Oryzias latipes: one gene and its partners. The protein of the gene in region 2 purifies or fractionates together with the protein of the main gene of each other region. This does not show direct contact. Links are inferred from orthologs where the notes say so. Each region holds a gene or a part of one and is shown on either strand. Other genes may lie near its edges. The genes, in order: mms19, pole and ciao1.

The links.
Region 1: the proteins of pole (region 2) and mms19 purify together in Homo sapiens (affinity purification with western blotting; 3 studies listed by BioGRID and IntAct, with this or other methods). This does not show direct contact. The link is inferred for Oryzias latipes from reciprocal best matches to the Homo sapiens genes POLE and MMS19.
Region 3: the proteins of pole (region 2) and ciao1 purify together in Homo sapiens (affinity purification with western blotting; 3 studies listed by BioGRID, with this or other methods). This does not show direct contact. The link is inferred for Oryzias latipes from reciprocal best matches to the Homo sapiens genes POLE and CIAO1.

What each region holds. Positions count from the first base shown.
Region 1 is NC_019877.2:1,646,156-1,656,037, forward strand, and holds the start of mms19 (MMS19 nucleotide excision repair protein homolog), read right to left. Parts: upstream 6,092-9,882; 5' UTR 5,984-6,091; intron 5,277-5,983; 5' UTR 5,253-5,276; coding exon 5,165-5,252; intron 3,939-5,164; coding exon 3,890-3,938; intron 3,797-3,889; coding exon 3,696-3,796; intron 3,626-3,695; coding exon 3,540-3,625; intron 3,464-3,539; coding exon 3,389-3,463; intron 3,273-3,388; coding exon 3,203-3,272; intron 2,859-3,202; coding exon 2,730-2,858; intron 2,651-2,729; coding exon 2,589-2,650; intron 1,756-2,588; coding exon 1,669-1,755; intron 1,586-1,668; coding exon 1,511-1,585; intron 997-1,510; coding exon 919-996; intron 809-918; coding exon 670-808; intron 1-669. Other genes in the region: ubtd1 (ubiquitin domain-containing protein 1), read left to right, coding at 6,512-6,581. UniProt on the Homo sapiens protein: Key component of the cytosolic iron-sulfur protein assembly (CIA) complex, a multiprotein complex that mediates the incorporation of iron-sulfur cluster into apoproteins specifically involved in DNA metabolism and genomic integrity.
Region 2 is NC_019867.2:13,279,794-13,289,356, reverse strand, and holds the start of pole (DNA polymerase epsilon catalytic subunit A), read right to left. Parts: upstream 6,243-9,563; 5' UTR 6,066-6,242; coding exon 5,998-6,065; intron 5,891-5,997; coding exon 5,755-5,890; intron 5,683-5,754; coding exon 5,602-5,682; intron 5,522-5,601; coding exon 5,477-5,521; intron 5,404-5,476; coding exon 5,311-5,403; intron 5,225-5,310; coding exon 5,070-5,224; intron 4,989-5,069; coding exon 4,844-4,988; intron 4,764-4,843; coding exon 4,683-4,763; intron 4,569-4,682; coding exon 4,461-4,568; intron 4,366-4,460; coding exon 4,255-4,365; intron 4,168-4,254; coding exon 4,082-4,167; intron 2,594-4,081; coding exon 2,474-2,593; intron 2,386-2,473; coding exon 2,253-2,385; intron 2,154-2,252; coding exon 2,040-2,153; intron 1,940-2,039; coding exon 1,727-1,939; intron 1,637-1,726; coding exon 1,529-1,636; intron 1,454-1,528; coding exon 1,325-1,453; intron 1,246-1,324; coding exon 1,143-1,245; intron 1,075-1,142; coding exon 928-1,074; intron 839-927; and 7 more. Other genes in the region: acacb (acetyl-CoA carboxylase 2), read left to right, coding at 8,849-9,384. UniProt on the Homo sapiens protein: Catalytic component of the DNA polymerase epsilon complex. Participates in chromosomal DNA replication.
Region 3 is NC_019867.2:18,359,277-18,369,083, forward strand, and holds ciao1 (probable cytosolic iron-sulfur protein assembly protein CIAO1), read left to right. Parts: upstream 1-3,456; 5' UTR 3,457-3,732; coding exon 3,733-3,871; intron 3,872-3,981; coding exon 3,982-4,130; intron 4,131-4,199; coding exon 4,200-4,311; intron 4,312-4,402; coding exon 4,403-4,491; intron 4,492-4,660; coding exon 4,661-4,856; intron 4,857-4,947; coding exon 4,948-5,017; intron 5,018-6,019; coding exon 6,020-6,254; 3' UTR 6,255-6,564; downstream 6,565-9,807. Other genes in the region: ES1 protein, mitochondrial-like, read right to left, coding at 25-77, 154-270; tmem127 (transmembrane protein 127), read right to left, coding at 1,879-2,189, 2,269-2,433, 2,525-2,762; snrnp200 (U5 small nuclear ribonucleoprotein 200 kDa helicase), read right to left, coding at 7,822-7,965, 8,044-8,136, 8,214-8,295, 8,403-8,563, 8,654-8,830, 8,914-9,057, 9,163-9,284, 9,375-9,539 and 1 more. UniProt on the Homo sapiens protein: Key component of the cytosolic iron-sulfur protein assembly (CIA) complex, a multiprotein complex that mediates the incorporation of iron-sulfur cluster into extramitochondrial Fe/S proteins.

The DNA of each region.
Region 1 (9,882 bases), on a different chromosome or scaffold from region 2:
TTTTAGATCACATCTATTCTGTTGGTTCGTTCCAAAGGACAAACCGTTGTGTTGAACATTCAGCCGTTTCTCTGAGCTCAACATTCGGTTTCATCCGGAGGAAACAGAACCGAGCGGGTCTTTTTGGACCCCTTCTGGTTTGTTTAGAGAACCGGTTCAGCTCTGTGCTTTTAGATTTGTTATACTGAAAGTCAACATGTGTTTCTCAGCAGCCTGTGTTCAAACAGGTTTCCCCCCCCCCCCACACACACACACGCACACACACCCTCACACCCCCCCCCCCCCCACACACACACACACACTGTTACCATGGTTACAGAAGCCTTTGTGTTTGAGAGCAAAGGTTTGTGTCTGCAGAAGTATTTTTACACGATTAATGTTTTAATTTAAAAACATAATAAGTTGTTTGTAGTTTTTGCTCAACCTGAATGTATTTTTTACCATTAGCTTTACGATAAAAGCCTTAAGAGAATTTCTGTAACACCTGCTAATTACATGACATGTTTTTCTCCTTATTACATTTAAAAATATCCTTATATCCCTATACTGTTTATCTTGTTTAATTTAGTTTTTTTCCTGCCTGGCTTTATTAAAAAAAACCAGGAGCATCCACCACGACTCCCCTTAGCATCCACCTGAACTCAGAGGGCCGATCTCACCGCCGCTCACCTCTCAGAACGACCTCCAGGAAGCGTCCGAGGACGTCCTCCGACTCGGAGCTGAGCACCGAGCGAGACAGGCAGGAAGTGAGGGCGGCGAGGGCGGCGAGGGCTGCAGACTCGATCTTCTCGCTGGACGTCTGAAAGACCTGCAGAGAAGAGCGAGGTCTGAGCGGCAGCCAGGAGGCGTCGCAGCAACGCCACGTCACGAAAAGCTTTGAATTTGGAAGGAAACGTTTGAATCCGTGAGCGTGGCGACCTCTCGACGCAGCGACGACCACAGGCCCTGAAGGAACTCAGCCGTGTCCTTGTGCTCGAAGCGCGACAAACATGCGTTCTGCGGAAAGAAAGCAACGTCTGAGAGTTCACCGGAAGATCAGGTTCTTTAAGCCAAGACCCAAAATAACAGATAGTTTAGAAAAGGATTTCTAATAGAATGTGTTTTATTTCGTCACAGAACTCTTCCATCTCCTCTTTTGTCCAAAACTAAAAAACAAACGACTGCAGCGACAGCAGATCTAAACATCAGCATGTCTGAGCTGAATCAGCTTTTGTGTTTATTTATTTTGTTTTAATTGTTTACATTTTATTGTAGATATAATTTATTGTTTCCTTCTAGCCAGGACTCCCTTGAAAAAGAGATTCTTGATCTCAATGGGACATTTCTTCGGTAAATAAAGGTGAAATAAAATTAAGAAATAAAAATTCACTTCAGACGTCCGTTTTCTGCAGAAAAAGGTTTCCCGCCCTTTACCCTTTCAGAGTAAAAGCACGGGTTTATGCACTGTGCTGCTTTACGAGACTGGAGGAAAACTGGTGTCTTGTTTCAGCGTCACGGCGTGTCTCCTCACCAGAGTCTGCAGCGCGTCCAGCTTGGCGCTCTGAACCTCTGAGTCCAGTTTCTCGATGAGGAGGGGGAACAGAAACTGTGGGAAGCCGAACAGAAACGTTTGCCGGAGAATGTTTGCTCAGGGGATCGAGTCAGAAGAAGCAGACCCGCCGTCGTTACCTCGGCAAACTTTGGCGTTCCGGTGAGGACGGCCCTCAGAGCCTGAACCAGCTCCTCTTTGGTGATGCCGTGGGGGTCGTTGGGGGGCTGCAGTGGACCAGGAGGGGGTTTTGGAAAAAGAATAGGAGGACAGGTTAGATGAAAAGTTATCCTGGAATCGCGTCCTGATCTAAAGAGTTCAGATGTCAGAACCCTGGAGAACCATGTCAGAGATCTGCACAGACGCTGCTGCAGATGCTGCAGACGCTGCTGCAGATGCTGCCGACACAGCTGCAGACGCTCCTGCAGACGCTGCTGCAGACACTGCTGCTGACACTCCCACAATCTCCGGGGGCTCAAAAAAAACCCGGCAAAACCAAAACACACATGTCAGGGATATTTAAAGTAAGTTTTGAAATTATTATGGGATGGCAAAAGGTGGCAAAGTGTAAAATTGGGCGATTTTCAGATGGGGGCAGTGCGACTTAAACTTTTGCTCGCACATTTTTTACCAGGACATTGTAGATATGAACATATTAGGAATGTGGGCGGGGTTGACAAAAAACCTCAGTTGCTAAGGAAATCCAAAAATGTATTCCTCTAAAAATGACATTGATCTGTCCGTCGGCCTCAAACGACCAAAAATTGAAATGGTTGCTATGGAGACAAACGTACATAAAAGGCACCGTTATGACAAAAGCGTGTTTTTTTAATGAATTTGTGCAGCTCTCGGGTGGCAGGGACAGACAGGGAGAGAGAGGGACATGTAGCAGATCCTGAAGATAATAGAGCGACATATTTTACTTTAGCTGATTTTTCTCCAGAGAGGAGAGGATGGAGACCCCAATGAGGAGCACGAATGCCCAGATCACACTTGTTTTTTGGGGGGAGGAGCAACAGTTTTCTCTGGCGGTCTGCAGACGTCGTCAACAGGAACTTACCGGGGTGAAGTCGATGGGGAAATAGCAGGAAGTCACTTCAAAGAGCTCCTCTGCGAATTTACCTGAGACAGCAGACAGGAAGGTTGAGAGAAGGAAACCGTGACATCACCAACAGACGGGGGGGGAGGAAGGTCTTCTCACCCAGATCGTATCCTTGGACGATGAGGTTTCTGGCGATCCTGAAGGCCAGCAGCAAGTTGCGAGGGTCTCTCTCGCCGTCCATTGATTGGACGAAACCAAAGACAAAGTCGGCTCCCAAACTCTTCAGCTCTGAATGGAGGATTGAGAGGACGTGAGAGACCGCCAAACGCATAGAGTGTCAGATATTTGTATGGATACTATAAACAAACGTTATTGACAATTGGAGAAATTAGAAAGAATTTAAATAATCAAATCATTAATTCAGTTTATCAAACAAGCCTAAACTGGTTTGGAGCGACCCGCAGTTCACCAAGTGACCACTAGAGCACGGTCTCACAAATGTCAGCTAGATCCTCTAGATCAGGTTAGATCCTCTACTCTAGAAGCGCCTCTCTCTTTATAAAGCTTCTGATGGCTCTGCATCTCCTGGGACGGGCAGCACAGAACCCCTTCACTTTGAGGAAGACTCTTACCGGCTTCCCTGGTCTCCATCAGGTTGGTGAGCATGTTGTAGACACACGCTCGCTCTGCAAGCATCAGCGACTGAGAGACAAAAAACAACAACGTCAAGATAGACCTCGAGACAAACGGCACGGAGCAGACCTTTACCGGAAAACAGGAAGTGGAGGAGATCCTGGTTTCTTCATGGAGAACCTCACCTGGACGTGGACGTCCTGGAACAGCGACCTCAGCATGGACACGGCCGAGCCGGGAGGCAGCGCCGCACACTTGGTCTGAGGAGAAACCAACACAAACTTACAAGGAGGCTCCAGCAGCGCCTCCGTCTGAAACCGGGTCCCCCAAGTTTACCAAGGCGAGCAGCCCCCGTAGGACGGGCGGAGTGGTGACGTGATGGTCTTTGAGGCGGTTCTGGTAGAAAGCCATGAGCACTTCCACTGCGATGGGACAACAGGATGTCAACAACGCTCCTCACTTTGAGCAGACGAAAAGGCTTGGTGTTCTGACCTTCTTTCTGCGACAGCTCTGCACGGCCGTCCTGTAGGACCTCGGAGAGCAGCTGGACGCCGCGGGCGCGAGTCTGCGGCTGCGAGCTGGTCAGGCTGGGCCTGCGGGTGGACGGGAAGTCGATTGAAAACAAGAACGGCGTCACTTTTTTGTGTTTTTGTAAAAAAGTAAAGGAGAAAAAGACAAAGGCTCACCCCAACGCTTCCACTAACTGCAAAACTGTAAACGCTCCATCTTTGACACCTGAGCAAGAATCAATAATATGTCAACAAAAGCTTAAATAATCCATATTATACCACGGTCCGGGTCTCAATTCTGATTGGCTGCTTGATGTGAACCATCAGCGTATTTATCGCTTTCCTTTGCCGCTGCAGTGGAGGTCGAAGTAAGAACGCGCCCGCCGCCTTACGTGCAAATAGGACCACGGTAACGGAAACAATGAGTACATATATAGAATAAAGTTGTACAATTCTGAGAAAAATAAAGACAAAATTTTACAAGGAAAAAAAATGTACAAGAAAAAACTTTAAAAAAAGGGAAAACGACAATTTTCTAACATAAAGCTGTAAATGTTTTACTTCAAAAGTTGCAATATTGCAAGGAAATAGTCATACTTTTTCAAATAAGTAAATAAATAAAAGTCTGAATTTTAAAAGGAAAAAACTAAAAACTGATTTAATATGCATTTCTTTTGGAAAATTTTAGGACTATTTGCGTCAAATTTAGACTTCTCTCAGATTATTTTACAGTTCAATTCTCATAATAAAGTTTGGACTTTTTTCCTCATAATTTCACGACTGAATTCCTGTAAAAATTTGAACTTTTCTCTTATAATGTTACAACTTCATTGTCAAATATTTGCTTTTCTTTCATGGTGGCCTCAGTATTCCGTCATAACAGCCTTTAAATAAATATAGTATCAGGGGAAAAACAAACTTCAGTAAATTTGATTGACATAAGTGATCGTTTTATTTTGAAAGATCCCCCTCTGTTTACTTTGGGTATAATTAAAACTCCTTTAATTTGATACGTCATAAGTTATCAGGTCTGTGCTGAATCGGAACCGAATCGGTTCGGTAGTCTGGACGTGTTTCCCTGCTTTGCCCACACAGACAAACTCGGGATCAAAGGTAAATCGGGGGTTGAGGGTTCAATGACAGGATCCTCCTCGCGCCCAGCCAGCAGCTAGCTAGCAGCAGGCACGAGACCACAGCAGACTGCAGGTACAGTCATGGTTTCAGTAAACAAAGATAGCTGCGAGTTCCTGCCGCCCCGGAAAAAGGGCAGATTCATGACATGTTTAGTGTCAGGAGGAGCTTCTCACGCAGCATCCCGCACAGGATGTTGTGACGCTAAGTTTAGCTAGTTAACCCCCACGCACCTTTATGGGAAACTAACGGCTCCAGCTCAGTTTTCCACACAAACCCGCTGGTAAATGTGAGGACAAACACCGGACACGACTGCTGTACCTTTAGCGGCGTCCTTTGCTTTGCTGTCCTGCAATCCGGAGACGAATTCCTCCACCAGAGACAGCAGCAAGGCACCGTCCGCAGCCATCGCGCTTCCTCCACGCTGCTGACACTGCGCATGTGCAGAAAGTTCAAACGCCAAAGTCCAACTTTTTTTTTCTTGGTTAAGAAAAAATATAAATATATTTTTAAAAAATATTGTTTGTGCTTTTAAATAAAATAAATATAGAGATTTTACACAAAAGAACGACACATTTATGTCCAAGACACCATTACATTCAAAGTATCTCAAAAAACATAAACAAGTATAAATGTAACAATTTATTAAGCTTGATCATTTTTGTTTGGTCATAAAGGTGTTATTGGAGATGTCATACTTTTATAAGTGCATTAATTAAGCAGTGAAATATGTTTCAAGCTGGACTAAAAGCTGAAACCGTTTGATAACATGATCTGGATTAAAATCCCAGAAGATATTAAACTACGTAAAATATTTTTTTGTTCATCGTATGACTGCATTCATTCTATCTAAGTTTTCATGTGACGTTATAATAAACTGGAATTCACACGTTTTTGTTCAGTATTTTTTTAAACTATATGGAAAAATCCTAATTTGTTTGGATAAGTTTGAAAAATACCTACAAAAAAGTGAAATATTCATAAGAATCTGTACTTTATTGATAGTATTTTTACTTTGTGCCCTTTTAAAATGTACTTATTGTCATTGTGTATTGTTTTTTCTCTCCTAATATCAAAGACGGTTTGAACCATTATTGTGACGTCACTGCTATCATTTATTTACGTTTCCTTCAGACCCACCTGCCTGGTTGTCTGCGCATGTGCAGAAAAGTTCGCCTGCCTTAGCTCGTTTCTGAACACTTTCTCAACCAGCAGCAACAGAAAGTGAGGAGTTTTTCCAAGTCTTTTGAAGAAAAGTAGTCCGGGAGCGCGTGAAGGGCGTGATACGGTTCTGCATTCAGCTCCGAGTGAAGCTCTACCTCCAGACCCTTTTATAGGGAAGATAAAACTCGGGGAAATGACATCGAGCACGCGGAAGTTTGTGTTTTCTGGCGGAGCTAGCTGGTTAGCCCAGTTAGCCTGTTAGCAAGAAAGCTTTTCTGTTTACAGTTGCAACTAAACCGAACTTTACCGGTTATTCAGACAACAGAAAAAAAGTTGTTAACGGTTCCCACCGGATTTCACCGCCTTGTTGTCACCGGATGACATATCCGGCTAGCAGCGCTGCACCTGCGGGTTCTGATCTTCGCCGGACTCGGTTCTTCGTCGCCATGGGCCCCGTTGGAAGCCAGTGAAGCCCCGCGGGGAGCGACCACAGCCCCTCCGGCCATGGGAGGATGCGTGGGGAGGTACTGGCGAGGCTGGGACGAGTCACAGAGCCGAGGTTCGTCCGGGAACGGTGGGTTCGGAGTTTGCTGTTTATATGACACTTTAGAGTAGCAAATGCAGCAGAGTCATAGAAAAAGACAAGAAAACGAGCTAAATGTAGGTTAATTAAACCTGGGGGGGGGGGGGGGGGGGGGGTATTATTTATGTTCTTATTTGACATTTATCTTCAACTATTTGACACCTGACACTGTTGTTTGACCCTAACTACTATGCAAACGAGCTTTAGCTGATTTGGTTGGACTTGAACCCGGAAAGGACACACATTTGAATGCGTGCAGGTGAGCTGGTACCTGAGGAACCTGTGACTGAATGGATCACGTGATCACGTGATGCAGCAGCGCCTCTGAACGCTGGTTTTAGGGTGCAAACAGGAACGTGGCCTCCTCTGCGTTTGACCTTGACCTGCATAAGAAGTGGTGGAATAGCTGCTCTCCTTTGTTTGCACAAGTATTGTCTGTAATCCGCCCAAAAGTTTGGGAATCTTCTGCAGTGCATACATACACACTCAACGCACATTTATTTGTAGAATGCGTGTATAGAAAGTTCAAAACCTATTGTTTATTCCATGTTTGTGCATCTCTTAACCTGGCGAAAGGTCCGGCTGAAGTTGAAGCACACGAGAGTGTAGAGGACGGTCGACCTGTGAGGCCAAATGCAAAAAAACAAAAGGGAGTCAAACAGCTTGCTTTGAAGGAAATGTTCTCCATTTGAACCTTTGATCGGAGCTCCTGCGGCGTGGCAGGAGTTCTTTAAAATAAAACGTTCGTCGTTCATGCAGGTGGATGCTTAAGAATGGGGCGGAGCAGGAAGCTTGTTTCTTCATCACAAATACGATGTTTTCCAAACCACGTTTTTTTCCGTCTGCTCCCGATTTGCATTGATTTGAATAAAGAAGACACTCAGAAACGGAATTTTGAGCTTCATTTTCTTTCCATTTGTCCTCCCATCATCAAAAGATGCTACAAGAACACGTTTAAAACTCCATTTTCATGGCAGTGCTTCTTTAAGCGAAGATGTTTACATGAATGTGCTTGCACTCTAATTCTACCTTGGTTTTATTTTGAAATGATTTCTATTTTTGCTTTTTTATTTGTATGCTCTTATTTTGAAACATGTTTACAGCAGTCTCTCTGAGGGTTTTGCTTTGAACCTTTCTGTGTTTTTGACAGTGATAGCTGTGGTCATATAAGGTCACCTTGGCGTGTGTCCATATATGTGTTGCGTTGGCGTTTACTCCAGTTTTACAGGATAAAACCAAGTTTTTCCAGGCAGCCACCGTTCACATTGCTTAGAGCATCAAACCACTGGGGCTGAGTGTGTTTTTGCACGTTAGTGTCTAGAATTTATTGAGGCTGTCGGAGCAAACATTCCTCTCGTATTTTACTGTGACTCATTTCCTGCTTCGCTTGCCGTCAGACACTCCCTCATTAACAGAGAACAAGTCCCATCATGCCCTGCGGCAATCGCTGACTCTCCAACCTGCAGACGCTTGTGTGACGGAGCAGAAATTGGGCGATGAAATGTGTGAGTGAATCCTTGTTTGTGGTCACGACTTTGGTCAGGTCAGCCTCGTTCAGCTGCTAATGTGAAGGTTTTTGCTGCTGATGAGCTTCCACAAGCGCCTGAGTTTGACAGCTGAAGGCTCGCAGGCGATGATGGACGACCATCAACGACCATCAACCCTCAGAGCTGCAAAAGCGTTGAAGAGGACGCTGCTGAGGAATGCAGGCGTCTCATCCAAACTCAAAAAGGGAGAAATGGTTTTGCTGCTGCTGAGAGAAACAGACTGAAGTTGTTCCTCCGGTCTGAAATGTGTCGTTTTATGTGCTCTATTTCTTACCAACCAGGCGTTTCCTCTTATTTCTGCTTTACCACAACTATTCCCATCAAACGTTTCAGAAATCTCTTTAAAGACTGAAAAGATGCAGTTTGAAAAAGATCATTTTGGTGTCGTAGAAAATACTGGGGGGGGGCTACAAGCACCCTGCTCTGCTCCATTCTGATCATCCACCTGCAGACAAACACATCCATGAACGTCTCTGTTTTCCTCGTCTGAGCTGGAATCTGGATCTAAACTGGATTGCTCGCCATTTTTGTTGCACCGCTAATGTTAGCTTGTGGTTGTGAGGGGCTGTGAGCTAACGGGAGAGCAAGTAAACAAAGGGATGATGGGATATCAGCTGCGGCTTAGCTCTGCACCCACCGTCCTGCCAACAACTCAGAGGTGGATGTCGAAAGAACGCCTTCCTCTCTGCAGAAACTATGTCCTAGAAAACGACAGACTAACAATGTCATAATCATGGCTAAACAACCACTGGGAACACTTTGAAAATGCATCAAAAGATGATCAGAGCAGAATTAAAAATGTCCTGTGGATGCATAAAAACATGGATACATTTTCTGGAAGTTTATGTTGTCCCAAGTTTGAGGTTTTAACGGTAAAAGTTTCACTTTTGTTTAATTTAAACCACTAAATATGTGAAAACAGTTCTGTATATGAAACAGAATTGATTCAGAGAGGAAATAATGGAATAAATGAATAAAATCCAGAACGTTAAGATTTATTTTTTAACTTAATCCTTCTCTTAATCTATTTACGGAATTACATCTTTTTACTAAACAATTTGACTGATTTTAGGAATAAAAATGAAAATCACTAGCGTTTTAGAACATTTTCTTCCCCTAATGAGATTCATGAGCTCCTTGATGACTTTGCGGATCCTGTTCAGGTTTTGGTTTCCGTTCAGGACCTCGGACAGATCACACAAAGAAGCAGGAACAGGTTTTTCTGATCAGATAAAACATTAAAGAACGGTGAATCTGCAACAAACTTCTGTAAAAACCAGAAGAGAACTGAATGCAAATCACTTCAAACGCGTTTTTAGAAACGGCCAGAAGTTTTGTTAAAAACAATTTGATGTCTGCAGGTTGGATATAATGTTTTTGATTCCATTGGTTGTTTTTGATTTATATTGGTTGCAACCCCCCCTCCCCACCCCCCATAATTAAAAAAAAAAAAAAAAAATTCCTGCAGGGACTTAGAAAAAAAAAGTCACACTTTTGTGTGAAGATGAGTCATTTATTTATCTTTTTAAATCATTTTTGGTTATTAAAGCAGATACATTTTGATGAATAGTATTTATCTAAACAAAAAAAGAAAGAAGACTTTTTAAAATTCTCTCTTTGTCGCTGGTTTTTATTTTTCCTCTCGTTAGATGTAAAGTTTGTGGCTTTAAGACCACAAATTTCTTAATTTTTTGTGCTTAAAAAAAATCCAGAAAATATGAGCTTCTATGATCCACAGGTTCTGC
Region 2 (9,563 bases):
TCGACCAGCTCGTGGTACTGGTCATTAGTGAATCCCTCCTTCACCATGATGTTCAGCATGGCTCCCGGGTAAGAGATGGTCACCTTGGGCTTCTTCTCGTTGCTGGTCTTCACCACAAAGTTCTCAGGAAAGGTGTTGGGGAGGACACACCAGATGCCATCTGTGTCCAACTCAAGGGGTCTCCTGAGTGGTGGAGAATCATCCCACATGGATGTGACGCCTTTCTCACAAGGAAACGTTGCGTAAATGCCTATGGGACTCACCCAATCTGTTCAATGAGCTCTCTGGCCTGAGTGATGATGTTGGCGCCGGTGTAGCACACGATTCCAGCCATCTCCATGGAATACCAGCGTGCCCTGAAAGACAAAAACAGCAACTTTAAGATGGCAAACATCTCAGAAGCAAATCTGACTATTGTTTAATGACCCCCTACCCTTTCCTCATGACGTAACCATAGAAAGAGTTAAGGATGCACTTATGGGCCAGCTGAAGAGACTCGTACAGGATCTCCATGTTTTTGCAGCGCTTCACCTCTGCAGCATCTCCGCTGTCCTGAGCTGCCGACAGCTTCTTCTTCCACACCTTTAACAAAAAATATATATTAGACAGCCAATAATACAGCACTGAGTAAATCACAACTATGACCATTTAAAGTCCAGATAACTCAACGTGATTTATCTTAGAGAACAAACCTTGTGAAGTCCTTTGAATTCATACCGCCGGTCCCTGAAAGCTCTGACTGTATCGACATAAAAAGAGTTTTCTCTCTGACAGATGGTGGTGACCCGTTGCTCCAGCCTGGTGACGTGCGTCTTCTTATAGGCCTTCTTACAGTAGTCTGGCACAGAGAAAGGACACATCCACTTATGCTTTGGGGTCTGCACAAAACCGAAACCTTAAGCAACAGATGCAAGAGACGGACTATACCCGCCAGACGTTTCTTCTCGTGCTTGGCCTGCTCCTCCCGGTTGAGTGTGTGAAAGGCCCGGGGGGGGCCGTTGGGAAAAAGCGGGGGTAGCTTCTCAGACTCGAGCTGCTGCTGGATGCGGTGAAACTCACTGCGACTTGCAGGCACTGCAGGCAGAATGAAAACATTAAAATAAAGTAATCGTTTTTGATTTCCAGAGTTATGGACAGCTTACTGATTTCCCCTCTCCACTGCCAGGCCATCCTCCTCTGACAGGTCGCACCAGGCTTGTTAAAGTCACAGGCAGCACAGGTGGCTTCATCTACCATAGCAGACGGCTAGGAAAAATTCACACAGAGAAGTGAAACTTAAATCCACACTGCTTTACGGTTTGTACTTTTTAAATATAAACTTTACCTGCAGTCGGTTTGTGAGAATGATGTTGGGGTACATCGCTCCGACGTCGAGATGGTAGATGAGTGGGCATTCAATTCTGTTTGGAACCTCCTTCAAGGAAGTCAGCTTCTCTTTGATCTCATCACAAACCTGACAGAACAGTGATCGGGGCTAAAAAGCACGAACCAGCATGAAGAGAACACCAACTACAAAAGGCCAACACACCTCATTGAAATTAGTAACTTGCTCCAGAGGGATTTTCTCCTCCTCCTCGATAGCATGGCGCATAGTTCTTTCAACTCTTTGCAAAAGGAAGTCAAACGCAGCTGGATTCTGTCAACGAGTCAAGCCAAACTGTTAGTTTTAAAAGAGTCGGACTGTGCCGACAACTGGCAAAAAGGGGTGGAGCAAACATGACAGTACCATTTTAAACCGACAGGGAATGTCGCTGCGAAACACTCCCGACTCCAGCGCCTCCACGTGTCCACCCACGTAGGTCTCCGAATCCAAAACATGGCCGTCATCTGTCAGCTTGTTGAAGGCCTGTTCCTGCTTGTTGGGGAACACGATGTTGGCGTGAAAGGCCTGCACCATGAGCAAGGCTTCACACAGAGTCCCGGAACCTTTCCGGAGCACCTGTTGGCGAACAGACCCAAACAGAAAAAAACTAATCATCAGTAAAATAAACTAAATGTTTGGATTTAAGAGTTCTTTTATGAAAATGCTTCTAACAGACCTCATCAGGCTCCATTGGGATGATTGTGCACAGCGCAAAGATGAAGGGGTGAACATATTTCATATACAAATAGTATGTGGCCACTGCGTCTGACACAGAGTATGTGGCTAAGGTCTGAGGAGAAAAAAGCGGAAAAAATGGTGAAAAAAGAAAAGAAATTAAAAATCTATTTAATTTTAAAACTTTCCCTGGTTCTTTTTTTTTTTTAAATACCTGCGGCTCTTCCGTTGCCATTCGGCACATTTCCTCTGGATCCAGCTCAACTGGGTCATAACCCAACTTAGCTTTTGCCGCTGCCTTCAGATTGTGACTCCCCACGGGTAAGTAGCTGTCTCTTTTTACCCACCTGATACATTGAAACAGGAGAAAGTGGTGATAAATCTGTATAATTAAAAATACCGTTCAATATGATACTGTGTCGTTTGTGTTGACACCTTAAACAGTCCATGTGGATTGCCTGGCTGGACTTGTACTCTCCTTGGCTGTCCTTCTGGAAACCGATCTCTCTGTGCATGTTGAGTCCATGGACGGCAGCTCGAGTCTCAACAAAAGGCCTAGAGAGAAAAAAACAAGTCAAAATGATTTGCATTAAAAGTTTTAGTTGCCTATTTTCTTCCATTTTTAAAAACTAAATTCAGATGAAACATCAGATCTTCTTATAATCGGAGTGTTACACGACACTAAAAATCACACCAAAAACCAGATTGTAGAATGTTCTGTGCATATCATGGCGAGGCTTCGTAAACGAAGATTATGAAGAGGGCTGTCCACGTCTTCTACAAGCTCGCTCGTGGCTGAGCAATCCAATATGGGAAAGGCAGATCCTGTAGCAGAGGCTGCAGGTGAAAGTCTGTTCTGGATTCGGTGCAGTCGTGAGGCCGGCTATTCTCATTTGCCGTTTGTCTTTTAGCCTAGTCCGTCGCTTGTCTTCAAAAGAGGAGACAGCGTCTTTGATGTACTGGCGCCAGGTGTCACGGTCTTTTGCCAAAGTAGACCACTGACGATGGTTGATGTTACAAGCACCAAGGGATTTCTTAAGAGAGTCTTTGTATCTCTTTTTTGGTGCCCCTTTATCTCGCTGGCCTGATGCAAGTTCGCCATACAGAGTGATCCTTGGCAGTCGGTGGTCCTCCATCCTGTGTACATGCCCAGCCCACCGCAGTTGCGACTTAAGAAGCATGGCCTCTATGCTTTGGATGTCTGCCCTCTCGAGGACTTCAACATTGGTGACAAAGTCGCTCCAATGGATGCCAAGAATGGTGCGTAGACAGCGCTGGTGGAAACGTTCGAGGACTCGCAGATGGTGCTGGTAAGTGACCCAAGACTCAGAGCCGGAAAGAAGGGTGGTCACCACAACTGCCCTGTATACACTGATCTTGGTGGGTTTTTTCAGGTGCTTGTTGTTCCACACCCGACTGTGGAGTCTGCCAAAGGCACTATTCGCCTTGGCGAGCCTGTTGTCTAACTCTTTGTCGATCCTGGCATCTGAGGTAATTGTGCACCCCAAGTAGGTGAACTGCTGGACAGCTTTTAGTTCTGTCTCTCCAATATAGACATGGGGAGGCTGGTACACTTCCCGAGGTACTGGCTGGTGGAGGACCTCTGTCTTCTTTAGACTAACTTCAAGTCTGAAGAGCTTGGCAGCATCTGCAAAGCAGGAAGTTAGTCGCTGAAGTGCTCTCTGGGTGTGAGCTAGGAGAGCTGCGTCATCAGCAAAGAGGAGGTCACTGATCATTTGCTCACGGGTCTTGGTGTGAGCCTTCAGTCGTCTCAGGTTGAACAAGCTGCCATCGAGGCGGTAGCGAATGTACACGGCATCCTCGTCATCAGGGCCATCAGTGGCTTGCTTTAGCATCATGCTAAAGAAGATCGTAAAAAGAGTGGGTGCCAGGACACAGCCCTGTTTTACGCCGTTGATGATGGGGAAAGTGTCTGAAAGGTCGCTATTGAGCCTGATCTGGCCGCTCTGGTCTTCGTGCAGCTGAACAACCATGTTGAGAAATTCCTCAAAATTCTGTGCATATACTGACACACAAACTCACCAGTCAAAGAAGTCTCCGTTGTACGTCACAAAGATGTTTGGTTTTGTTTCTTGAACATGATCAAACCACCTCTGTATGAGAGCAGCCTGCAGCCAATGAAAAGAAACAGTATGTTTTTCAAGGACCTGTAGACCTGCAACTGTTGTTATAATTACGATGTGAGAGCTACGAACCTCATTGTCCTCATTGAAAACAGTGAAGGGCCCTTCATATTCAGGTTTGGGGGTGAACTCAAAATCCTCAATGTTTTCAGAGACAATCTCTCTGTTTGTAATAAGGAACCCCTGAGGAGATAAAACAGGGGTTGGTGTGAAACAACACAACTTGAAAGATTTTTTTTTTTAAATTTGTTAAAAAAACCATTTGAAGTTGAACACACCTGCCCGTCTATCATGTAGGAGATCATCATAATCTGATCACTCTCTGCATCTGGGAATTTCAGAGGAAGTTTGGTGGTTTCGATGTCAAAGGCCAAAACAACTGGATCCTGTAAGAAGATTTCTGTGAAACTTATGAACTAAAGACCCCAGAATGTTATTTTGTATGAGCAGAAATTATTTACAGATACCGTTTTAAAAAAGGAATATAAAAATCTTCTTACTGGTCGTTCCACAAGATCGTCCCTGCGGATAATCTCTAGGGGATAAGCGTTGCTTCTGTAGCGAACGTTGTACCAATGAGCCTGAACGAAGTAGAGACACTAAATGAAGCAAAGCCAGATGTCCAAAAAGTAAATACAATTTATTGTCAAGTTCTTCTTACAACGTGGATCTTAAGGTCGATGGACAGTCGGACATGGTAAGGCACATCATACTCTCTCATGTCCACCACATTGTCTAATTGATCGACGATGCTCTTTGACATCCCGTCCTCGTCTGCTGTGGTCACACCGACTCCAGACAACGCGCTAAAGCAACAACAAAGCAGAGAAACGTCTCCATCACACTCATCTTAAGACGGGAGATCAGCTTAGAGGAGCTGTTGATACCTCGACAGCATGGAGGTGTACTCATCATGCGACTGCTCCCTCTCTCTGTTCTTGCGCACGGCAGGAGCAATCTCCCGCTTGACTTTGATGAGGTCATCCACGGTGTTGAACGACAGCTTGATGTAGTTTCTCTTCAGTCCAACGAGATGGTTTGGCTGGGTAAAGCAGGTGTTTTTTTTTCTTTTAATCCACTTGACTTGATTAAAACCAAATCCACATTGATTTTTTTTTTTAAACTCACCAGATCTAGATCTTCTTTTGGAAGCATTTCAAGTTTGGCCACTTTGCCTTGAAACTTCTTAGACAAGTATGATATGACCTCTCTTTCGCAGTTCTAGGAATAACAAAACCCGATTATGCTCTTTCTTTACACAGAAAAGATGCTAAACTAAGTTAAAAAAATGTACCTTTTTTGTAGCAATATAAAAATAAGGCTTGAAGGGAAGGGCCACCTACAGACAGTAAATATCACAAGGTAAATATTAAACTAAATATTTGAATAATCAAATCTATTTTTAAAGGTTACACTAACCTTAAACCTGCTTCCATCCTCCTGGATGAAATAATAATCCACAGCGCTGATCATTCTTTTGTCCTCATCCAGGATCTCTGTCTGTAAATGAAAAACAGTCAGTGTCCTCTCCAAACCATTCCCTAAATCGCGGCAGACTAGAAGTGGACTTACTGGGTGCATGTTGATCAACCACCCGGTTTTCTCCCCCGGTTCCTTCATCCTGTCGAATCCGAAGCGAGCGTCCATGTCATCGGTGAACTGACTGCGCTCCAGCCTCTTGAGGGCCGACATCGAGGACCCATCATCCCTGGTTTAGACACATAAGCATCATAGCATTTTTATTTCCGCCTAATAGCATACTTTGTCGGTGGATAAACAATAAATCAAGAGCTGCCTGGTGAAAAAGCCACTCACTGGTTTTCCTGGTCTCCTCCATTCGGTCCGCGGTCCGTCCTGTAACGTCCACTATTTTGAAGAACCATTTTCTATGTAATAGTTTTCCCTACTAAAAATAATGTCAACGAGTAGTCTTTTTCCAATGGTAGAATAATTCACATTTGATAAGTTTAGACGCTTGAAGTTTATGTTCCTGGTTCCTTCGGCAATTTTGCAGGTAGGGTTTGTGTTTTTCTTGCTTTGGCGCGCTCTTGCTGTTATCGCGAGACCAAAACTCAGTGAAAACAATCGTTTATTAAAGAGAACATTCACTCCTAATTTATTCGTTGTTTCAATGTTTCCTTTCGGGTGATTTGGCTTTTACAGTTCATATTATGACAAGAAAAAATATTTATCTTTCAGATAAAAACAATGAAAACGCTAATAATAATGAGTTTATGTAAAACCAGGAAATTTATGACTAAGATTTTTTTTTTGACAACATTCAGATTTTCCGAGAGAATTTGCAATAAAGAGGTGGTAAAAAGTGGACCTATGACGCTTTTCAGTGATTGTACAATTAGTTTTGTTCTTGACTTGAATTAAAGAGAAATGGAGTGTGACTTCTGACAAATGTGCGATCTTTGGAGATTTCTTCTTCCTCTTCTTCTTCCTGGGAGGAGCCTCACTGTAACCCCGCCCCTCCTTCTCATGTGCATTTGTAGTGTTATTATAACCTGCTGAAGGAGGTGTTGGACGGCGGTGAGTGGATGACACAACGTGCAGTGGTTGTGGTAGGTGGCCTTGACCCGCATGTAGCCTTCAGATCGTAGCTGATTATGTTGTTTCCTGCGCTATTCGAATGTATTTCATATTTGCACATTTCCTGTTAGATAAACAAGTCATTTGTTCCTTAATTCAAATTCCCAGCTTTGTTAAAGCATCAGTCACATTTTTATACTCTAAATATTATCTTTTTAAGTAATAAGGTCAAATAGAAAGAAACATACTAACAAATAAGTTGTAATGCTTAAAAAATAATTTACATATAAGGACACAACTCTGAATCATAAAAAGTATTTTAAGAAAATATGTTAATGTATTTTTTAGGGAACATATTCCTCCAGTTGACATAAAACCATAAATATTTCCTTTTTTTTAAAACTAGAAATTCAATGAGATACTTTTCTAAGAAATTCCAATTTGTTGTGCATGAACTGCAAATGGTATAGCCCATCATTTTTACAGTTCTTCTCGTGTGCATCCATATGTTTGTAAAGGCTGATTGCATGGATGTTTCCATTTCAGTACAAAATACATTCTGTCCCTCAGTATTGACCTTTAGCCTGCATTGAGGAGCCACCCTCAGCTCCGATGGCAGCTGTTCCTCTCAGCCTGTTTACTGGAGCCTTGCTGGGGAATGTCTCCTGCCAGGACCCGCTGGCACCGTTAACCCCACATACCTATAGAAACTTTGTGTAAATCTGTTTAATCCTACGTAATGTTTAAGCTGATGTGAGGGTGTTATCTTACACTTTTTAATCGTTTCTTTACTCGTCACTGTGCACTTAAAATGTCTATCCTCTGAAGCTGTTTCTGTGTTCACATTCTGCTCGCTGTCCAAATAATAATGTGCTTATATCTGAACTGCAAGGGACACAAATGTAACACGTCAAGTTGTCTCAATACATTAAAGGCCACAACAAGGTCATGAGGTCCCCTAAATTAAACATTATCAGTTCTTTACATCTTAAGCCAAGTAAATATTTGCCTATTAACTATTTTGATTTAAAAAAATGTAGTAAATTAAAATATTGCCATTAGAAAATGTTGACTTAATTTAAAATCGTAAATGATTATGTGACAGAAAAACTGTCAATTAGTAACTTTAATGAATATTATGACTATTGCATAACTGTATTAACTACATCAAATTAAATACCTGGTAATGCAGTACTTTCATTGTTTTCTAGTAAGATTCATTTACTGGTATAAATTACGGCTGACGTTCTCATGCGTGAACTTTCCTTGAATGCTTTTTTTTCCCCCCAGACTCCACTGGTCTTTGAAATGATTCATTAGATCAGTTTTGGGTTTGCATGTGTGGCTCTCTGATACACTTGTGACCTTATTACAGTATACCTTGCTTATTCCACCTCATTTAACACAATAATGTAGATGTAAAAGATTTATAAATCTGACTTAAGGAAGTATTTTTATTCACAAGTACATGTCTTATAAGATTCTGCAGCCAGCAAATGTGTGACGCATCTCAGAAAATAATAACACTGCTATTCTTTTCATTTTTTATGAATCTTACAATGATATTGGTACTTAACCTTAGTTTTTATTTTGTAAATAGATAACAAAAAACAAAACAATACAAAAAAAGAATTTAAAGAGAAGAAGGTCCCTATATGCTTTTGTGCACTGTAAGATTTAGCTTGTTGAGCTAGGTTCATTCACAGTTGTTAACAGCAGATACCATGAGTTGCAAATATGAATACTTTGCCCAAACGTTTATGAACAGATTTGTTAATTCAACTTCACAACACTTTAAAAATGGAGACAATATGCCTTTACAAAGATGTCCACAAGAGGGCAGCAAAGACTCTCAACACATGTAAACATCTTGTGAACATTTGTCTTGTCGATTCATACATTTTAACTTTAAAACTTTTAACCTTGAACCCCCCCCCCCCCCCGGAAAAAAATTAATAAGGGATGTAAAGTATCAGACTTTGTTTAATTTGAGTTAAGAGTCCTTATAAAACTTTAAAACAAAGGCCTTCAAAAATGTTGATGTTTTTTTCTTGTTTTAAATCAGAATTTTCTTAAATGTGAAGATAATGTTTACCTTGTCGTTCCAGTATGAGGAGGATGTCTGCGAATGCTCCTTTTTGCAGCTTTGGGACTCATCCTGTGGATATCTGTGCTACTTTGGAGAATTATTACCAAGACTGGAGTAATGTCTGTGGAAGGACAGGGATCGGATTCTGTCTGGGATTCCCCTGAGCAGGGTGCCTCTGGCGCACATACCCCTTCCAATGCAGACAACTACTCACTCTTATTAGCTCCCTCAACTTCATTAACCACTAAACACAACAATCCAGCCAACAGCAAACCTATGGCTTCTGTAGTCAAAACAGCAGAGTGTGATCCTCTGCAGACTCTCTCTGAGGTAAACTCAGAGCTGCTGCCAAAGAGCACTTCAAACCACGTCAGAGCCACGGCTCCTATGCTCAGCTCAAGGCCCGAGGAGAGGAAGCGCCTTAAGTTCATTCTGGGAGCTTCAGAGGATTACTCTTCAGATGAGGATCTCCTGGTCACAAAGCCTCCAAGCGGAGTATCTCAGGCTTCTACGCCGAAATCTGCCACAGAGATGGAGCCCTCTGCAGTGCCGACGCCCACGCCTTCAACCATCAAGTGAGACCTATTTTCTCTGTTTCAGGACAGGCATGTTTTATTGCTATGAAAAACTTTTGACGTGTGAAAGATCAGTGTTTACAACAAACACCAGTCAGATGGAATCATTTGAAATATATTACGGTATAGATTGTAGAAATTCTTTCCTATTTATGGTAGAGGCAATGTGACAAAAGGCT
Region 3 (9,807 bases), about 5.1 Mb from region 2:
CTTTCCTGATCTTCTCATACTCACTACACGCCCTCATGGACGTCAGTTCCATCCCACCATCCGCATCCAGAGAAAACCTAGAGTATAAGGAGAAATTCCAGCAATGTGTGCCATGATCTCATTACTGATCTCACAAAGTTCTGCTTAACCTACCACAGCGACATTGGTGTTTCCCCAGTTGCCATAGTCACCCTGGTGAACAAAGCAGGCAGGCTGGCGGAAAAAAACAGCCAGTGTTTGTTTAGAAAGCAAAGCCCTGGTTCCCAACATGGTTCTGCTTTGGTCTCACGGCTTTGAGAGGAGAAATGAAACGTTGGAGTTTCTCACAGAGCTTTCCACGACCTCTGATAGTCCTGATATTGATCCGAGTGAAGCGGCCTGTATATATACCTCCATAGTGCAGCCAAAGTGACGTGGCCACGTAAGACCATTGTCTTATCACACCTGCACTTGTTTCCCCACTGAACTCCCTTACCTACGCCATTACCGCCTTCACCGCTCCCCTAATCAACTTATTTAACCACAGAGGGACGCCTCCTGACAAATCCAATCAATATCTTTGTTTGCCTTTGATCTTCATGGGATTTGCTGGTGGAGAAATTGTGTTCAATGTTTAAAGCAGCTGAGTGACATTCCATATGCCCTTTAAAGTCCATTAGATTGTAAGGCTCTTACTCTCTAGTAATGCCATGTAGCGTCTAGACGGTGAACCCAGAAATATCCTTGGCAGATGGAAAAGACAGATCAAATTTAAAGGCTTCAGTTAGTTAGTGGAAGGCTGACATTTGGTTAAACTCCTGGACGCCTCAGTGGGATGTAAACCAGCAGGACGCAAAATATGACTTTGACTTTATTAGAATCAGTTGATGTAAGCAATCAATATGTACATACTGCTGACAGTATAGCAAAGATTAATAGTGGAAAAATGTTGTAAAACCAACTCGAAACACATTAGCCACAATTCCAAGTCTGAACTAAGTGAGAAGATTTGGGCTGAAACGTAAAAATTGCACACTAAAGAACTCATGCATGGGTACAACATGATGGATCCAACACACAGTCACAAAATACAAATAAGAACAATTCAAAGACAAAAAATAAAAAACAAAATAACCTTACATACTCATCCTGCAAACACTTTTCTTGGGCATCTCCCTTTCTTTACGCCCCCACCTTACAACAAAAACACCCACCCGGGCTGTTTTTTTTTCCTTAAACGCCCAAAATCTCACCCCCCCACCAAAAAGCACAGAATAAAAGACACAGAATATAACCATAGACAAATGTCTACAAAGCAAAAGAACAATCAAAGACAAAAAGAAAAGTATGTGCAATAAATAGGGTCAATTTTCATAAAAATAAAAATTTAAAACAATCTCGTCAGTGTACAGATGAATTTGCATCTATGGTGCATCTAAAAATAAATCATACATATGACAAGCACATCAAATGAAATCTAAATGCTGCTTAGCAAAGCTCCATCTTTCTCCAATTACATCAACAATCTGCTAAGAGCCAGTGTGGCTTTGGCTGCATCATCAAAATCTTAGGGAGTACTGGTTTGCACTCATTGCTTTTTTTTTTAATTTTACATGTAAAGACTAAATTCTGCAAGTCATTTAAATGCAGATATTTAACCAACCCCATGTTGAAATGAAGAATTCCCTTCTAAATGTCTATCACCACCAAATAAAAGCGTTCATGCACCTCAGCACTTTCATTGAATGAATCTGTGCACTAAAGGTACACAAACTGTTTTCGTTGCCAAGAATATTTGCAGAGATATTCATTTGATAAAGAATGTGGTTTGCGGGTCAAGCAAACAGCTGTGCAGAGAGGAAAGACAACCCAAGGCCATGTCGCCGCTTTTTGCTGGCATTATGGTGTGTAGGCAGGAGGTGGCTGAAACTGGTTGGCAATGTCATAGTCAGCAGGGAAAGTCTCGCTGCTGTCCTCCATTTCTGAGAGCAGCTCCAAGGCCTGCTCTTCCTCCTCGGTGGGATAATGGCGCAGGAGGTTTGCAGCAGTGGCTAGAATGGAGGCTCCACCAGCACCTGCCACCAGGTAGAAGCTGATGGCAAAGGTGACGTAAATGAGAGAGCCATGGTACTTTTTGTGTTGCTGCTGCAGTGACAAGATCAGTTCCGATGCCCAGTAGCAAAAGCCTATGACTGTGGCACACTGCAACACTGGAAAGACAAAGAAACCAGTTACATTGTAGCAATGTGTTTGATCTTTATTAGAAATGAAAACAAGCACTGTAGATACCTGTTAGTATATGTGCAAAAGCATATCTGCGAGTTATCTTTAGGGCAGGGTGTTTGGGTCCAAACACATCCAGGAGGAACGCAGTTAGACTGCACAGGATGCCAAGGAAACAGAAGGCAGCTATTACCCTTAGCAGCAGGATGGTCTGCGGATTCACACAGTAATCTGAAAAGACAGACGTGCCACAAATTCATATAAATTAAGGCACTCCATGATCCTCAGCTTAGAGTGGCAACGACTTTGTGCTGGTTCTTACCACCCAAAAGATTGGGATCAACGTATCCCAAGACATCTGCCACCCCGAGTTCTTGTCTCGGGCAGGTGCCTCCGTGAATCCGGAGCCAAGCAGGTTCAGCCAGAGCCGTGCACAGCGCTGTGATGGACAAAGCTCCGGGCAGGGCCGACACTAGACTCCGCTCCGGCTGTTTGGGAAGTGAGGTACCGGCTCTCCTCCTCCGACCTCCGGAGACAGCGGGACCCGGTGGGGCATACATAGCTGACCGAATGGCGAATTTTCTGTTGAAGTGGTAGGTTCCTCTTAGCACTGTCTTCCTCTTGACAGTAGTACCGGGTTATTGTGGTATTAGAGTAAAACTACGGCAATTGTCTTCCAGGATATGTCAAAGATTTCGGTGGCGATAAAAGTGCTCAACAATATAAAAACAACAATAACCGCTTCCCTAAAGTAGTCAAAAAATATTAAGGAAAAGCCAACACAAAGAACAGATCCTAAGCGGGCCTTTAGCTCTGTTGTTAGCCTCTGAAGCTAACTAAAAAAAATAAACACTTTACGTCACCAGTTCTCGGAGGAAAGACACTTTTTAGCGAACGAATGGGAAAAAATATAACCTGTAAACATCAAATCCCGCTGATAAAACCGTCCGTCTCTATGATACAAAAAGGAACACAAAACAAAACAAAAGATAGCTTACGCTGTTTTCCTCAAAATCCCTAACTTCCTGTATATGCCATTCTTCTTCGTGACGTTTAGAATGTTTGCTGTACACTACCGCCCCCAGCGGAAACTAAAATAGAAATGTACACAATGTTTAGCATGAAATTTTCTTTGCAAACAGTAATGTAAATATAGATTCATATTATAAAAATACATATATAGGTAGATCACTTTCTTTAAAAATATATAAATGAAATATTACCATCAAAACGTTTTATTTTAGATCAACCCATAATGCACCGGGTCCAGATCCCGATAAGCAAACATGGCGGCATTTCCTAATTTGACGCTTCTTTGAACTTATCTGTGTGAACAATTTTCCTTGGTTAATTTCCCCCTCCTTTTGTTTTAATGTTCATAAAGGTGTATTAATTTACTCGCAGTCCTCTTGTCTGTCGTTTTCCTCATTTGTGACTCTTTTTAGCCTAAATCTTTGGTTAACGGAAATCGAGAAAAGTGTCGAGTCGACGCCTGACAGACAGAGGAGTCACGTTTGCTGGAGCTCTGCCATGAAGGAGGCTATTTCTCTGGTGCAGAAACTCAGCGCACACCCAGATTCTCGGTGCTGGTTCGTCAGTTGGAGCCCGAGCGGTGCGCTGCTGGCTTCGTGTGGTGGCGATAAGGCCATCCGGATATGGGGACAGGAAGGTCAGACTCAGACAGACAAAGAGCCTTCTATTCGAATTTTGCTACGCCGATTTAAAATCAGTGGTTGGATGACCTTACCTTTTTTACAGTTCATGTTTTCCCTTTTCAAGGTGACTCTTGGGTTTGTAAAAACGTTCTGCAGGACGGACACCAGCGCACTGTGAGGAAAGTAGCCTGGTCTCCCTGTGGGAACTATCTGGCCTCCGCCAGCTTCGATGCGACGACATGCATCTGGAAAAAGAAGAACGACGACTTTGAGGTAAGGTTCGTTTAACCTCTGATCTAACACGTGTTCTGGCTCCACCTGGACTCTTTTCTTGTCTTCTAGAGCTTAACTGTGTTGGAAGGTCATGAAAACGAGGTCAAATGCGTGGCGTGGGCCCCTTCAGGGACTTTGCTGGCCACTTGTAGCCGAGACAAGAGTGTCTGGGTTTGGGAAGGTTTGTGTCCTCACCAGCTCTTGCAGGACAATCCTTTGTCACAGAAAACATATAGAGCTGGGTTGTAAACCTTTGTTTTCCTTCTTCACAGTGGACGAAGAAGATGAGTACGAGTGTGTTACAGTGGTGAACTCGCACACACAAGATGTAAAGCATGTTGTGTGGCATCCCACGCAAGAGGTAGGTCTGCACTCAGTCCTTCACCATCATGTAGTTGTTTTATTATTGTTGCTATTAATTGTTAAAGTGCATCTTTAGCCATATTTATGATCTACGTGCTGTTTTTAATAGAGCCATGGTAACGACGTTTGTGGGATCAATAAAGTTGTATTTTATTCTATTTCCGCAGCTCTTGGCTTCTGCCAGCTACGACAACAACATCTGTATTTACAAGGAGGAGGATGATGACTGGGAGTGCAGGGCCACTCTGCAGGGACACACGTCCACCGTCTGGAGTTTGTGTTTCGACGTGACGGGACAGAGGCTGGCGTCTTGCAGCGATGACCGCACTGTGAAGATTTGGAAGGAGTATCCAAGTGAGAGTGGTGAGAAGATAGAGGGGTAGTTTATGACATAAATAAAAAAAAATAGGATATTTTTTAATCACAGAATGTTTTGTTTGGTCTGCTTTATTAGGTGATTTGTCATGGAAGTGCGTTTGCACTCTGTCGGGTTATCATGGACGAACAGTGTACGACATTGCCTGGTAAGACTAAATACTTACACTACAGCAGGGGTGTCAAACACACGGCCCGCGGGCCTTATCCGGCCCGCCAGGTGGTTTACTCCGGCCCACACATGAAGAGTAAAAATCAAAAGGATGATTAAAAAAGAAAGCAAGTTTCTAGTCCATTCCTGTGGCGAATTATGATTTTTTAAAGAAATAACAGAAATGTGCAATTCCGCCACTAGGGGGAGTAAAGGAAAAGAAAAACAGTTGAAACAGCAAATATCTGCATGTGCCAAAAGCGAAACATAACAGCTCTGCGTCTGGGTAGGATGCACCTTGGTTCCCTATGAGCCTTACCGCTGTTATCTTGCTATAAGGATGATCATTAGCGACACCCTAATGACCAAAATGCTGTCAAACGTGAAGTGGAGGGAAGAGCCTTCCAGGAAAATTGGACAGAGTTTTTTCTTTTTTTCACGAAGCTGAATGTAAAACCCAAATGCTTTGTATGTCATCAACATCGCAGTGCTCAAAGAATATGACATTCAGCACCACTAAGAGACTTATCATAAAGAAAAGTTTCTGGATTGCTTCAGTGTCAGATGTAAAATATTCAGACTGCATTAATTTGAATAGACCAACTTTTCTTTAATTGAAATTAATTTTATTTGAGCTCCATTGGCCCCAAGTGATTAGGCTACTATGTTGATTGAGACATTTTTTCCAACTGAATAAAAAACTAAAACAAAGCTGTTATTTTGCTTTTATGTTACTGGTCCGGCCCACTTGAGATCAGACGGGTTAAATGTGGCCCCCGAACCAAAATGAGTTGGACACCCCTGCACTACAGTCTGGTGTCTGATTTTTTTTTTTTTACTTTAAAAATAGATTCTATTTACAGAGTTTTTAAAAAGTTGCCAAAACAGATTTTCTTCTTTGCTTTTTTGGCTGTACCACCACTAAAACAGCGCTTGTCATCAGTCGGCTGAATCTTTGTCCCCTTTACTATTATGGCTCAAACAACTGTCTGTTGCGTAGGTGTCGACTGACCGGTGCCCTAGCAACTGCCTGTGGCGACGACGCCATACGAGTGTTTAGGGAGGATCTCGCGGCCCATGCAGATGAGCCGGTGTTCTCGCTGGCTGCTCAGGTGAAGAAGGCTCACTGTCAGGATGTGAACTGCGTCGCCTGGAACCCAAAGGAGGCCGGCCTCCTGGCCTCCTGCAGTGATGATGGAGACATTGCAATTTGGAGGTTTCAAGAAGAAGACTGAACCTGCTGTGGAGACACCAGCAATTGGATGAAACCCTGTGCTGAACTTAAATGTTCTTTTCTTTTGCTATATAAAGTCATGCTTATACAGTTATCTTTATAAATCTGAATGATTGTAAAATGTAAAGTTTAAGTTCTATTTTTATTCACAAAAGTGATGATGGGTGTGCTGGTTAACTGTTTTTAGTCCTACAACTTAAAAGGAGCAAGAAACTAGTTCTGTTCTGTTTACATCTAAATACATCTTTATAGCAAAAAGCAGGTTTTCTGTAAAAAAATGATTTAAATAAAGCCTCAAACCCTTGGAGTGATCGGAGACTGTGCATAACTACTGTACACCCAAAAAATGGAAAATATATATATATATATATCCCCACACCTGAAATGTCTGAATAAGCTTGCAAAAATGTATTTTGGAAACGGAAATAAGTAACTGCACTGAATGAACTTGTTTTCAAGTTTGGTAGTTGGGTTTACCTTTGTGCTATCTTAGACGACCCCACCCTTACTTTGACGTGTTCTCCCTACCATGATAAAGGTGGAAAGATTTCATGTAATCCATGGACACCAGTGAAGATCACAAATCATTGAAGAAAAAAAGGTTCAGAGCACTGTCTAGTGGGTCTAGATGACCCAACTCCCAATGGTAAAGTGCCTAGGATAGCACAACACCACTATCAGTAGTCAAAGCTCACCAACTGGCTTGCACTGTTAATTTAACCCTTGTGCTATCCTAACATTGGGAGTGGGGTCATCTAGACCCACTAGAAAGTGCTCTGAACCTTTTTTCTCCAATGATTTGTAATCTTCTCTGGTATCCATAAATTACATGAAATCTTTCCACCTTTATCATGGTAGGGAGAACACGTCAATGTAAGGGGGGGGGGAGTCGTCTACGATAGCACAAGGGTTAAACCCAACTACCAAACTTGAAAACAAGTTCATTCAGTGCAGTTATTTCCATTACCAAAAGACATTTTTGCAAGCTTATTCAGACATTTCAGGTGTGGGGATATATATAGGGATAAAGGGAGGGGATCAAGAACAATCTTGTCAATATCCATTAAGTGCTGTAGTGACATGAGCTTGTAGCATAAAAGGGGCCAGACTAAGAACTAATTGTTTCATAATAAAACTATAAAACAATTTTCAGATGTTTTTATTGCAAAAAACAAACAGACAGCATGAATGATTAAACGGTTTAACCAATCCAAAAAATCTTATGACGTTTAACCAAAGTAAAATGGAAAGTCTAATCTATTTAAACATGCAATGTGGATGAGACTCAGCTGTTCAACGGCAGTTTAAGATGTCTTAGACTTATCTTTGAATAATTTTGTGAAAAGTACATCAATGGTCAACGTAAAGAACACAAAACTTCTGAAAAGCTGTTTAACATACAGGATAAAACGATTGTACTGACTACGAAAACATGTTATAACACCCACAGAGAACTGACAGGGTCACTCTCAGAGATTGATCGGGGTAAATATCTACATATAAAACCTGATCCCATTATTTATTGAAAAAAAAAAAAGGATTAAAAATGTAGAATTTGAATTTCCAGCTTAATCTGAATCGCTGTCGCTGTCTGCCTCCTTCACGTCCACACTGAACTTGTACTCCTGATCACAGCCCATGTAAGCGTCGCTCATGAAGTACAGCGTGTAGTTGTGAATGCCCATCGCTGGTGCCACAAAGTCCAGCTTGACCTACACAGAAGAACCAAAAATGAAAACTGTGGTAGTTTGCGTATTTTTGGTTAGGGAGTGTTCAAAGCAGCGGCTCACCTTCGCTTTTTGTTGCAGAGTCAGCCTCTTGATTGAGATCAGGCTGTTCGACTTCGGGTCTCCGATCACAACCCACCAGCCCTCCTCACGTTTCTGCAACGATGAGACGATCAAACGATGAAGCAAATGTAGGAAACACCTATAGGGAAGTGGACAGCCACTCAACTGACCTGAGGGAAAAGGGGAGCGACGACAGGGCCAGTCACCTCCTCCTCACGCTCCAGCTGAACCTGAACCAGAACTGGACTGCCACTGAAGAAAACACAGACCAAATTTTATCCAGAGGGCAGTGCTGATGTAAATCTGATCCAAAAATGCATCATTGTTTTGAATAGTTCTTGATTGGACTGCACACTAACCTCTTTATGTTATCCCTTTCTACCACTTCATACGCGAGCTCGATGTTGGGGTAACGGTTACAGAAGCGAGCCACGTCTGCCATCTGAGCGTCTGTGAGCTGCAGCAAGCCGCTTCGGTCTTCATCCTCCATTTCCATTATGTCAAATATACTCTCCACACCCTGGAGACAAAACACACAGGTTTAACTTTTCAGTTTAAATGTGCGAGCTTTGACAGAAGACAAAAGCAGCAGTCAGACGATGCGAAACACCTTGTCAGTACAACGCTTGATGTGCTCTGAGGTGAAGTAGGGCAGCTGTTTCAGGTAGGAGTCCTTGGACCACATAGCCTGGGTGACCATCTGGGCCAGCTCCATGGCAGCCAGCGCAGGACTGAGCCAGCCGTTACTAGACAGCACGTCCACGCAGGCCTGGATGAGGCGGATCGCCTGCATGCAGCAAACACACAGTGGGATCAGCTTTACACACACATTCACAGAAGAGGGAGGAGAGAAGCATTTCAAACGTGAACCTTGCTCAGGATCTCTTCAGTGTCTGACTGCAGCTCTGCGCTCAGCTGCATCCTGGAGAGATGAGCTTGCAGCAGCAAATTCGTCTTCACGTGGGGATCGTTGAACTTCGGGTTGTTGAGCTTGTGGGGAACTTTCTGTGCCAGCTTTAATGTAAAATTAGATCCACAATTTAATGTCAAATAAACGGTTAGACTTTGTGCTGCAACAAAAATGAAAGATGATGGATTCCCACTGTGGAGTCTGCTTACCTGTCGAAGAAGTGTGTCCTCGTGGTGCCTGATGGGAATGTTTTTATACTCAGCAGCATTGGAGATGATTTCAATTAACCCGCGGATCTTCGTCTTTGCGTTCAGAGACATGCTAAACAACTCTGCCAGACATAAGAGCAAAGTTACAGCGTGATGCTCAGCGTTCAGGACACGGCTTTAACCAACACAGAGAAGCAACGGTTGCTACAAACCGATGGTGGTGTAGTTGATGTAGTAGTAGGCAGCAATCATGCCCAAATTGAGTGGTGCCACATCCATTTCATCCTCAATGCTGATGCATTTGGACTGCTCAAGGTCGTGCAGCGTGTTTTCCACCAGCTCTGACAGGTGGTCAGACAGGTGACGATGGGACATGCCTGACATCGAGAGAAAACACACGACTCTTAAAACTAACAATCTTGTGACGGCCTCAGTATAATCTGATGTTCCTCTCGGAGGGATGCTGCCCACCCTGCAGGTTGTAGTAGTTGGGGTTCTGCGTCATCCGCCTGTAGAGGAACGTCCAGGTTAGGTAATCCACGGCATCCTGCTTGTTCTCGATCGTCTTGGTAACGATCTCTGCGTTGAAGTGGTCGTGGAGACAGTGATCCAAGTGAGACTCCACAGGCAAGGGCTCATACAGGA